Drosophila melanogaster: one gene and its partner. The protein of the gene in region 1 interacts with the protein of each later gene in a pairwise test. Each region holds a gene or a part of one and is shown on either strand. Other genes may lie near its edges.

Region 1 (5,614 bases):
TGTCTTTCATTGTTCCCTTTTTTGGTCTGCCTCTGCAGAGAGGAAAAAGTCATAAATAATAAATAAATGCATATTCTATATTACAATTTTAGTCACAATAATTAAGGGAAGATCAGTGCAACTCTCATGTCAAGGCAGCATATTAGGATAACCCAGAATGATGAGGTGTAGCTTAAAATTAATAATTTAATTTAATGTATAAAATGTTTATTGGCCTAGGCTTTATTTACCAACCCATTTTCTCTCAATGTTCCCCCTTTCTGGGTTGGCTTGAAAATGGGGCCCCCAGATGATTGTTGTGGCATGAATACGTTGGAGGAAAGGTTCTTCGATTCGAGTGACCAACGAAGCAGAATCAGCTCAATTACTCAACTTTTGCAGATCTCGTTTCCAATTTCATAGCAATGCAAACACATTTGCAGCCACACGACGACTCAACTCCTATTAGAGCCAGTAACGCTCTTCCAGGTGGAAGAGCTGCAGACACGCCTGTGCACACAACTTCACATCTTTTTGGCCAACTTGAAGATCTGGCCCAAAAAAAAAGTTTCGGCATAAAAAGTTTGCCAACCAAGCTGCTCCTCTATGACCAGACCAGAGTCGAAAAGACAAAACAACCTCACACCATTCAGCAGACTTAAGTTGAAACAGAAACTGGGTTGTGATTGTGCTGGTCGCTTCTATAAGTCTGCACTGAAAGAAACCAAGCATTGATCTAACAAGAATTTCCCTAATTTCCTGGTTAGTACAACTAGCATGTTTCATTTTAATAGTATGACTACAGTTTATAGAACTAGTTGAGCTCGCAGCACCCAAAAAGAGTTTCTTTCGATAGTTTACAGTGTACTGAAAGCATAAATATATCTTTTTTTCTGCACATTGAAGCTGAAACTTGGAGCCAAAGTTATTGCCAGGGAAAGTTTCCGCAGGTCGTCAAGAGAGTGCTCCAAAATGGTTGCCAAAAAACTGACTTTGCCAACATTCTTGAGCCTTCTTCGCCAGCCAGTTATGAAATATAAACCTGTCTCCTCCGGCAGCCGGCTAATGAGTCCAGAAATGGAAAGTAAAGGAAATGTATGTAAGCCCGGTTTCAAAGTGCACTTACGCTCCCATCTGCGTGCGTTCGAACCGTATTATTGTAAACAAATTTCCAGCTGCAATGTCGGTAAACCGGTTGCTCGAGTACGAAACCTGGAAACCTGACCTGCTGCAAAAGCTTGGCCAAAGAATGGATAAGAAAGTGAATTTCATTTGCCATCCCGGCAGCGCCAGCAAAGTCTATTTAAAAGTGCAGAGCAGCAAAATGGAAAATTAAGCACATCCTGTGCCAGTGGGCTGCTTCACATGAGGTAGTATACTTGATAAATAATAGCCAACATCCAGGGGGGCGTAGGTTTAATAATAACCCGAAGAAAAAAACAAAAAGTACTTTTTTGTATTTTTTGTTTCTACAAGCCTTAATACGGGCATCTAGCGCGTATTAAATGAAAACTCATTAACTACTTCTTAAGGTTTAAAGACTTGATCTCCTCTTCGGTGAGAATGGATTTCTTGAGCGCTGAAAGAACTTCAGGTGGCTGCTTGGAGAGCAGCTTCATCCGCTCAATAGCCACAAGCTCATCCTGGCGATTCTGTTGGTTGTAGACCTCCTGTACAATGTCAACCACCTCCTGGGCAGCGGCTTTCCTGTTATTCTTGGCCTCCACGACCATGTGGGCCATGTCCTGGTAGCATTGGACATCCAAGCGCCGGGTGTTCTCCCGCTGGGCCACTTGCATTCGATACTGTCGTTCGCCGAAGCACATGGGATCCTTGGGCATGACCAGGGCATCCTGCACACCCTTATCTCGGAAGAACTTCTGCTCTTCCCGCTGGCTGAGGAGCTGTTCGCGAATCTCCTGCTTCTTGGCCATTTTGGTTCTAGCCTGTTCCAAGGCCTTCGCGTTCTCCTTGGCCTTGTGCTCGCGGATTAGCAGACTGGTGATGACTTGATCTCGGGACTCCAGATCGTGCTTGATCTGGCTGAGCTGGAAGCCCAGCCGAGCGGCATTAATGTCCCTGGCCTCGATCTCATCAAGGCGTCGTTTCCGTGCCTTTGACACATAGGCCGCCGTAACGGGTCCCAGGGCATCAAGGAGTCCTCTCTCGGGCTTATTCTTTTGGGCCAGAGCGTAGGCCTCGCGGGTTTGCTTCAACATGGCTGCCGATTGGTCTAGGGATTCGAGGAGCACCTTGCGCTGCTGCGCCTTTGTAACTGCATCCTTTAGGATTCCCTGCTCCACTATCTCCTTGCATTCCTTTAGCTCTTGACGACCCTCGGCCACAGCTATTCGATGATCTTGTATCCGCTTGGTACGCCCCTCGGTAATCTGGGCCATTAGATCTCTACGAAACACGGCTGCCTTCTGAGCCCTTCTTTGCTTCTCCTCCTTCAGCTCCTTTTCCACGGCTCGCTGTTCCGCCAAAGCTTCGGCCCGCTCCCGCTGCTTATCTTCCACCGTTTGTTTGATATTGTTGGTGATCTTGTTCTTGACAGCCAACGCTGTGTGGGCACGGGCCACTTCCATCTCGAGATCCCTCAAATTTTCCACATTGCGATGAAGTTGAAGGCATCTACTGGCCTCCACCTGCTGGCGAGCCAGTTCCCTTGCTACACCGAGGGTGACATCCACATCGGTTTGCTCCTTCCGTTGGCGCGGATGCAGGTGACTGTTGAGCATGGCGGCCACTTCGTCCACCTGGTGTTTGACCATTCGGAACAATGAGCTCTCCGCGACAGACGACTGTGTAAGAATGCGGCACACATCCTTATCAGAAACACAGTCGTCCTCGCCCTTCGGCATTGGTTTGAACTCGGTCAGAAGATTCGGTACGGGCTCCTGGGAGGCGGTGGCAAAAATCGAGGCTCCCGGTTCATCCCAGACAATATGGCCAACGCGATCCGACTCCGGTTGGAGATTTTCCATCGTGGTTCAAGAAAACAAACCACTTCCTTTTAAAGAAATTACTTAGGAAAATTTAACTGGGAATGAAATATGTGATATGTCAAGGCGTTTTGAGTGGTATTAGTTCACTCAAAATGTTTTTTTTTTGTGCTAGTAACCTAACGAAATCTACTGACTAACTGAAGACTGCTAGAAAATTTTCAGATATTAAAAAACGACAGTTTTCAGCTGGATAAATAAGTTTAGAAAATAATATTCAGGTTAATTCAAATTACAAGTATGTTATGAAGAATTAAGTGAAACAGATAAGAGCTGGCTAATATTTTTAAGCTGCGAATATAAAGCCACTTTTCTTGATTTTCTGTCATTGACAGAATCTGTCAATTGCCCACGATTACAGAATGTTCCCTTTATATCGGTAAGTTAGCTTACCGTAATTGAAAGCCTGTCCTTCCGTAATTTCAAATTACTTCCTCTGTGAGATTCTGGAAAGGCATTGTAGCTTTATGCAACTACTTTTCCTGAAGCTCAGAAACATGCACTCTACTGTGGGCTGTCTGTGGAGGTCTGTGTGGACTTCCAGTGGATTAGCATATTTGAGTGGGTTCTGGGCCAAGAGGCCAAGAGATCTCTCTCTCTCTCTCACCTACTGCATGGCCGCATTGGGAGCCACAAGCTCGACGGGGGCCAACTTAATGGGGATATGTGCATCAAAGTAAGGCTCAAGTGCTTCCCTTGCGAGCGCGTTGTTGCCCCGACTATTGGCTATATATACCTTTGAATTTGCATACGAATTTGTATGGAAAATCACAACCGAGCTAAACGATTGAGTTTCTGAGCTCGAATGCATTGCACTCAATAGAAATAATATTTCTCCTGAATTTAAAACAGCTATTGAGCTAAAAAGGTATTTAAATAAAAGTCAATTATTTACAGAATACTGAGTATATTGGAAAATAAGATAAAACCAATTATAATTTGTTCACAATTGCAATCAAACATTTTCAACATACGTATATTTAGAATTATAAACTATGGTAGACGTTCTAGAGCGATCTGTCGAGGATTTTTATCGTCTGGCTTCCATAATTTATATATAGTTATCTAACTGCTGAGCGCTGGTTAAATGCTGCCCTGTCATCGCCGTCTTCATCATCATCGTAATCATTGGAGGCAGAAAAGAGCGGAGCTCTCCCAGACCATCAGTCACTGTCCACGACAGAAGCTCATTGGCGGAGTCTCTGTGGCAGGAGGGGATTGAGTTCGTGGCGGGGGGGCATGGGGAATGGGACATGAGTAGCTCCAGTAGCAGCTGCAGCTTCCGAAGGCACTTTCCTCGACGCATTTGTTGGCTGTCCATGGTTTTTGCCGACCAGGGTCCGGATAACCTTTCCATTTTACAACTGTCAACGGCGCAGCGAACGCGATTTGCCAGCGGTTTGTTTTATTTATTTGTTTTTTTTTTGTGCCCCCCCCCCCCCCCTTATTGCCATTTATATTTTCCTCCTGTTTTCCCCAGTGTCGTAATTACGCGTAAAGTTTTGTGCCTGCATTTGAAATTGTACGCAATTTTCCCCGAAAGTGTCAACGCATGTCGGGGCTTTAAAGTTTTGAAAAATGTTAATTTGTTGTCGTTGCTAATGCTGCATTGGGTTTTTCTCTTTTATTTTCCTTTAGCCGCCAATGCAGCTGCTGTTTGAGTTGAGTTCAGTTTTGTTTGTTTGTTGGTTGGTTGGCAATTCGAATCGAACGCGTCTGGCATTACATGACACTCATTATTGCACATTAAGTTGGATGGATGATGGAAAGTGGCGGTCCGACCCTATGAGACAGCAGAATCGCTGGACTGGGGGGGACAATAGAAAGCATTGTTGCTTACCTTAATTGATATAATAAGTATATCTGCCACTCGCACGGAAGTTCGGCATTAAGTCTTTAGCCAGGTCATCGTCAATTAATCAAACCATCTTCGGAGAGAAACTTGCCATGTCTGGTTCAACGAACTTTTCGCGGGGCTTTTCATTGGTATTTAACATTTATGTGTCTCGAATGTAAATGCTTAAAAAAAAGGAGAGGGTAGGGTTTTATTTAGATTTTAAATCAAGCTACATACTACCTACGTTAGGTTAGAAGTAGTGTCGAGATATTATTTCACCTGTAACATCCTTTGATATCTACTGATTTAGGGAACCCTTTTCAAGCGAAGGCAAGCCTTTCGCTATTTGTTGACCTGGAATGTCGGACAAGTGAGGAATGTACACAATGGCAAAGTGCTTGAATCGCCATGTACCGTGCATATATAGTGGTCATATAGGGTTTCTTGTATTCCACTGGGCAACCACATGAACGAAACTTTATCCCCTTGACCCTTTGGCCCCCGTGGCTAGTTCGAAGGCACTTGACTGCTGGATTTGTGCAGATGATTTTATTTTATTTATACACTTTAACTTTGAATCCATTTAATATTGAAATTTCTTCGTAACTTTAGACGGGACTATCAATAATTTCCGGAAAAAAGATGCAGGACGGCAGCAATACGGAAAAACTTTCAACTGCAAGTGGCAGACAGCTCAAGACAAAGTTTCAAGTGCAATTTTCATATAATTTCCATACAAACAAACAGACGGTTCACTTGGGGCACGACCTGAGGTCGCGTTTATGTTTTATTG
Region 2 (6,510 bases), 2.2 Mb from region 1:
ATTGCTGGGCTCCACGCGTGACAACAAATCGATCGATCGAGTCCCAAAGCAGTCAACACGTCCGGATTATAAAAAGTCGATTGACTGAGAATTGGCCAATCAAATTGTTGGCGCACTTCAAACCGATCGGTCGAAAATTGTTGGCACACGGATTATTACAATTGGATAGCGGACATTGGCAAAGGATTAAGCATGCTGACCTGGACGCTGTGGTGTGGACTGCTGTTCCTGCTCTGGATCTACTTTCTGTGGAGCAGGCGCAGATTTTATCTGCTAACGCTAAAGATACCGGGACCACTTGGATATCCCATTTTGGGCATGGCTCACTGGCTGATGCGCAGGGAAGGTGCTTTGGATGTTGTGATGTTTGTTGTGTTGGTCGGGAGTAATAATCTGAGTGTCCGTGCGCAGATATCCTCAACGCATTCGGCTGCTTTCTCGACAAGCACGGTCCGACAATTTTCTCCTGGCTGGGGCCCATTCCCTTTATGATTGTGAGTGATCCCCAAGTGGTGCAGGATATCTTCACATCTCCCCACTGCGTCAACAAGGGCATTATTTACAAGGCAGTGGACGATGGCGCCGGAGTTGGATTATTCAGCCTGAAGGGTGTGTGTCTATGGAATCGAGTGTGGGAGTTACTTAAGTGTGGATTTGTGTAGATCCCCGCTGGAGCATCCATCGGAAGCTGCTGAATCCCGCCTTCGGCCACAAGGTGCTACTCAGCTTCCTGCCCATTTTCAACCGGGAGACGGCCCTTCTGCTCGATCAACTCGAACCACTGCAGGATGACGGCGAGAAGGATCTCATTCCACTGCTGCAGAGCTTCACCCTGGGAATTGCCACCCGTGAGTAAAGAAGAATGTGTTGTTTGTTTAAAAAAAGACTCATAAATTATGGCTATCACGTTTGTTGTTTGCATACAAAGTGGTCGAAAGCCAGAATGCATAATTCAGTTAGAAGAGTCGATCTGATATTAAATATATGATATACTTATATGAAAGCAGAAACCACCATGGGCAGCGATGTAAAGGATGAAGAGAGCTTCAGGAGCAATTCCTTGCTGGGGCGATACCAATGGTGAGTTTTGACTTGGAATCGGAATGCATCTATCCATTAATAGCATCCTGGAAACCATGACAGATATGTGCTTCTCTCCGTGGCTCAATAGCCGATTTTGCCGGCAGCTGGCTGGAAAGGAATCGCACTACTACCAGGCCAAAACTGAGATTCGTCAGTTTATTCGGAAGGTGAGCACCTCCAACTACTCCCTCCGCTTATTCACTTACGAATCTCTTAACCCCTTTAGATAATTGAGAGAAAGTTGGCCGAGGACGAAATGGGAGCACTACCTTCCATCCAGTCCAATGATAAAAACCTATTTCTAAATCTGGTCACGGATTTGATGAGACGAGGAGTGTTTACCCTGAAGAATGTTGAGGATGAGTCGAATATCATCGTTTTTGGAGCTTTTGAGACCACGGCTAATGCAGTGTACTACACCCTGATGTTGCTGGCGATGTTTCCGGAATACCAGGAGAGGGCCTTTGAGGAAATAAAGACGATATTCCCAAACACAGGAGACTTTGATGTATCCTACGCGGACACCCAGCAGATGGTGTACCTTGACCTGATCCTCAACGAATCCATGAGAGTAATACCCCCTGTTCCTGTCGTATCCCGACAAACGTCTCAGGATCTGAAGCTGTCCAATGGTATAGTGGTTCCCAAAGGGGTCCAGATCGCCATCGACATTTATCACATGCACAGAAGCAAAAAGATCTGGGGTCCGGATGCGGAGACCTTCAACCCAGATCATTTCCTCCCCCACAACATCCAGGACAAGCATCCGTACGCCTATATACCTTTTACCAAGGGCATTCGAAATTGCATAGGTAACAGAGTGATCGCTAATTTATGACCATTGTTTTAGCTATATTCTTATTATTTCCTTCTGTTTAGGTTGGAGATATGCCTTAATATCGGCGAAAGTTACATTAGCCAAGTTATTGCGGAATTATAGGTTTAAAACGAGTTTTCCCTTCGAAAATCTATACTTTGTTGAAGATATTACGATGAAGTTGAAATCTGTGCCACTGTTGGAGCTCCAAAAGAGAACTTAAATGTTTATAGCACTTAGTGATTTTAAATAGATTATTAAAAGTTGTTGAATTAATGGGTTCTGTGAATTATACCAATATTAAAAAATAATAACATCTACCTTTTATAATCTTTTATTAACTATTAATCAATTATTCCATTTTTTAAATTTATAGCATGATTTATGCTAACGTCTTTCGTTGAAAAGTTTAAGCAGCAATAATTATTAGTACATTTTCCGAAAATGTTGGTGTTAGCGTTTTTTTAACAAATTTCTTGTTTCATGAATTCGAATTAAAAAAATACTAAAAAAAAATACTTTGCGGATTTCCGAAGACTACTATCACACTAGCATTGACTTACAAGCCGGGCAACGAATTGAAGCATAAACAAACGATGTCGCTCACCGATGTCTTGGAATTGAACAAAACGGAGTTGTTCGCGAAGATTCGCAATGGGTTGCCCGTGGTGCAAAGGACTCAGAACCTGCTGGACTGCAAGGACGATCTGCTCTTTGCCTGGCACGCGAAGGACAGCTGTCTGTTGGTTCGCAACTGGCGCTCATCGCTGGCGGCAAAGGTGAATATCCAGTTCCAGACACTGATTCCATCGAGCTTGGTGAGCCTGGAGGTGGACCGCGTGCTGGCCTCCAACGAGGGCTCCCTCGTGGCACTAAGTGGACCGCGCGGCGTTGTCATAATGGAGCTGCCCCGCCGCTGGGGCCCCGATGGATACTACAAGGATGGCAAGCCAGTGATCACCTGCCGCACGTTCGGCCTGGACACTCAGCTTTTCCTAAAAAACCCGCACTTGGAAGTGCGCCAGGTCCGCTGGCATCCGCACTCCGTGTCAGACTCCACGCTGCTCGTGCTGCTCAACAACAACACGATTCGAGTGTACAATCACTCCAAGTTGCGCCACGTGTGGCAGGTGGGTCCCCCGGTGCTTCGAAGTGGGGCCAATAACTCGCTATGCGACTTTGGCGAGCTAGCCGTTGACTTTGACATCGCTCCTGCTGCAAAACCACGTGTCACTGAACCAGAAACAGCCGGCAATAACGAAACCACTTTGGATAAGAGCAACAAAACCCTTGTGGCGGCCAAATCGCTGCCGAAACAGGAGAGGATAGAGTGGCCCATGGTTGTGCTCCGCGAGAATGGAAACATCTACATTTTGATGACCGGCGTGGATTCGGAGAATACGCGCCTGCAGGGCCCCGTTACCATAACGCCACAGGCACATGACAATTATGGACTGGAGTCCTGTGCCCTAATGATTATCCCATCACTTCCGCCGACCATTGTTATAGCTGAATCCAATGGAAAGCTTCACCATGCTCTGCTTATGGAGGCGGAGGCCACTGAGCATTCTTTCAATGAGGTTGACGACTCTGTGTTGATTGAACCCGCCGAATACGTTGTACATGTACTAGAAACTGTCGAACTTGAGCTGGGAATATCTGCACCCGCAACTGGAAAAGAAGGAGGCAACTGTCCCATATACTTAAAGCGGGATTTGATCAATGAGCTTCGCTACTTTGCCTACCACAACGCAGGACTTCATGCCGTTACGGTCAGCTTTATCGCAGAGCTGCAACGTTACTTGGAAAGCGAGTCCGATGAAGATCGTCTAGAGCTGGCGGTCTCTGCAAGTGCAGAGTACATTCTGTGCACAAAATTCGATTCCAGTGAGACGGTGAACGCAGTCTTTGGACTTGCCCTATTACAAATTCCTGCCGGTATAGTTCTACTGCTGGGCAGCGGTCAGGTGATTAGCCTTAAGCTGGTAATTGATGCCCAGCTGTTGGTTACACCTAATGAGAATAAGCCAGTTGACTCGGAAGTGTCTCAGCAGGAAAGTGGGCCACCGTTTGTCGATACGATTAAATCGCTTTTGCAACGTAGTGTTAACCAGCCCATCTTGGCGGATAAACTTTCCTCGCCATCCGCCCAGGAGAGCTTCGAACTGCTTAACCAGGCAATCGAGGTGCTTCGTGAGCAGTACCTTAAACGACATGACCTTGTGCGCGCCGCATTTACACGCCACATCAACCAGATCCAGCTGAAGAAGGAACAACAGCTGCAGGAGATCCAAGACCTGGAGCAGGAACGCGAACTGATCAGCGAGCGGGCCCACAAGCTTGCCGAGCGCTTCGAGGAGATTAGCTACAACCAGGAGCTGCTCGTCCGCAAGTGCAACGCTCTGATGCAGAGGGCCAATGCCTCACTACCCAATAGTGTGATTGCGGAACGGGAGTTTTCGCAGGAGGTGATTCGACTTAATAAGGTCACCCAGAGCCTGGCCGCTGGACTGGAGACTGCTAAGAAGACGTTTAACAAGCAGCGCTACCACATTGCCCAGAGTCAAGAGGACCTCAAGAAGAACGCGTACGAGCTGCCGGAGAAACAGCACCGCACTATCACCGAGATACTTACCCAGCTAACCGGGGAGATCGATCGCCAGATCACCGACGTCAAGCGCATTAATAAAATCGTTGGCATCTAAATTCGGATTGGGAAGCACGCTCTTAAGATTTCACCACGTTTTCGTGATAGTAAAGCCGTTGCGTAGAACTAAAACGTATTTTTAATAAACATGTCAATTAAGTCCTATTTTCGTTAGCTGGCTTCTGTTTTTTGTATTCGATGACACTTTAATGAGCATACGTCAGCGTTTTCTGCTAGACGATCCTTCATGAAGACACAAAAACATTTGATACCCATGGGTATTGTGCTACAAAGTCTACTACAGTAAAATCTATTCTTGACGTACTGTCCCATTTTCCGGATTATAGTTCAAAAAGTAAAATAATAGTAATAAAATAATAATAAGAATAAAATAATGAATAATAATAGTAGACTTCATACATCATAATTCGGAAATACAAAGTATTGTAGTACTGCTGTAACATAGTTTTCCAACTTTCAGCTCCACTGTTATTAGAATACCACAAATTTTTCTAGTATTTGGTTTTTAAAGTATCGCATTTCGATCGTTACTCATTTTCTCTGCAAAGCAGAACCCATTGAAAACGTAATGGAAAAGCATTTGCAAGGCTAATGACACTCGCCCCAAGAATTGAGGGTTTCGATAGCTATTGCGTTTTAGTGACAGTCTAAAGCGAAGTTCGGCGGACGAGAGATGACGTTGATACTACTGGCTGCCCTGTCGAACATCTACACCGGGATGTTCAACTACGTGAAGGCCAAATTCCCGTTCGTGATCGAGGCCGCCATGGTGACCCTGTGCTTTGGCTCCATCGTGGGTCGATTCTGCATAATGGTTTAGAAGAAAACTGAGGAGACTCGAGACTGTGCGAATCGAAGGAACTTTATGTATATTTATATGGATGTGTCTTGTGGCCTTATGTGAATACAACTAAAAACTTAAATCTAAACCTGTGGCTTTTCGATCAGGTGAATGTAGAAGGCGGGGTTCTTCACCTGGCTCATCTCCTTGAAGTCACCATACAACTGGTGCTTGGCTTTGGCGGAGAAGATCTCGGCTAGAATCTCCTGGAATCGTTTCAGCCCGTGGGGATAGTAGGACAGACGGAACTCACTGGTCAACTTGTTGCCAGCGATCAGGTAGTCCATCGACACCAGGGCGGGCTTACCGCAGTAGAAGAGCACGGATGTCTTGATGTCCGCCGTGTGACTCGTCTGCAATTAGAAGCAAGTCATCATTGGATTATTGGATTAATTGAATCGAAAGATGTGTAACTGATAAGGCGATTGATGATTATGATGTGTTATGTGGGGTTCACAAACAAGATCATCCGTTCTTATCACCGCGATGATGCGACAATATTAAGCTATTTTCACAGATAGTTTTTAATTGAGGAGATGATTCGCTAGAATTTGTACAACTCACTATAGGAGGTATGAACTACACGCTAATTGGATTAGATTCTACAGATCGGCATTAGATTTTAAATGGGAAATTGGTACTTACATTATAGTAGATGCTCTTGGCAGGCGTAGCTCCCGTTTCCAGGATATTGTCGTAGTTGCGATGATCGATAAGCAGGACGCCTCCAGGCTTGAGGCACTTTTCGAAGTTGCCAATAGCCTGCTTGTGCTCCCGCTGATCCCCGAACCCGTCCATCAAGTGGGCAAAGGAGTTGCCCAAGCAAATGACGGCATCGAAACCATCCTGAATGTGCTCCTGAATGTCGTCGTACAGTGTCAACCAGTTGGCTTCCTCAATGACTGTAGGATAACAATAGATATAGATACAGGGCTAAGCTTATTGATCATTGCCCAACTTACCCCACTTATCGAAGGCAGCTTCATTTCGCCGGGCCCAGCGCTCCTTGAGGGCGTACTTCAACATCTTATCAGAGGCATCTACGGACACAACTTCGAAGCCCTCCTCCACAAGCATCAGGGAGTCCACACTGAAAGAAAA

The links.
Region 2: the proteins of CG3610 (region 1) and mbo interact in a two-hybrid assay, tested with the Drosophila melanogaster proteins (one large-scale study listed by BioGRID).

Annotation. Positions count from the first base shown.
Region 1 is NT_033777.3:14,842,559-14,848,172, reverse strand, and holds CG3610 (uncharacterized protein), read right to left. Parts: upstream 3,131-5,614; 5' UTR 2,967-3,130; coding exon 1,500-2,966; 3' UTR 1,436-1,499; downstream 1-1,435.
Region 2 is NT_033777.3:12,674,988-12,681,497, reverse strand, and holds mbo (members only), read left to right. Parts: upstream 1-2,445; 5' UTR 2,446-2,496; coding exon 2,497-4,605; 3' UTR 4,606-5,011; downstream 5,012-6,510. Other genes in the region: Cyp313a4 (cytochrome P450 313a4), read left to right, coding at 193-346, 412-609, 663-848, 1,008-1,080, 1,124-1,250, 1,310-1,895, 1,963-2,123; CG43630 (uncharacterized protein), read left to right, coding at 5,242-5,388; Gnmt (glycine N-methyltransferase), read right to left, coding at 5,493-5,762, 6,055-6,311, 6,372-6,499.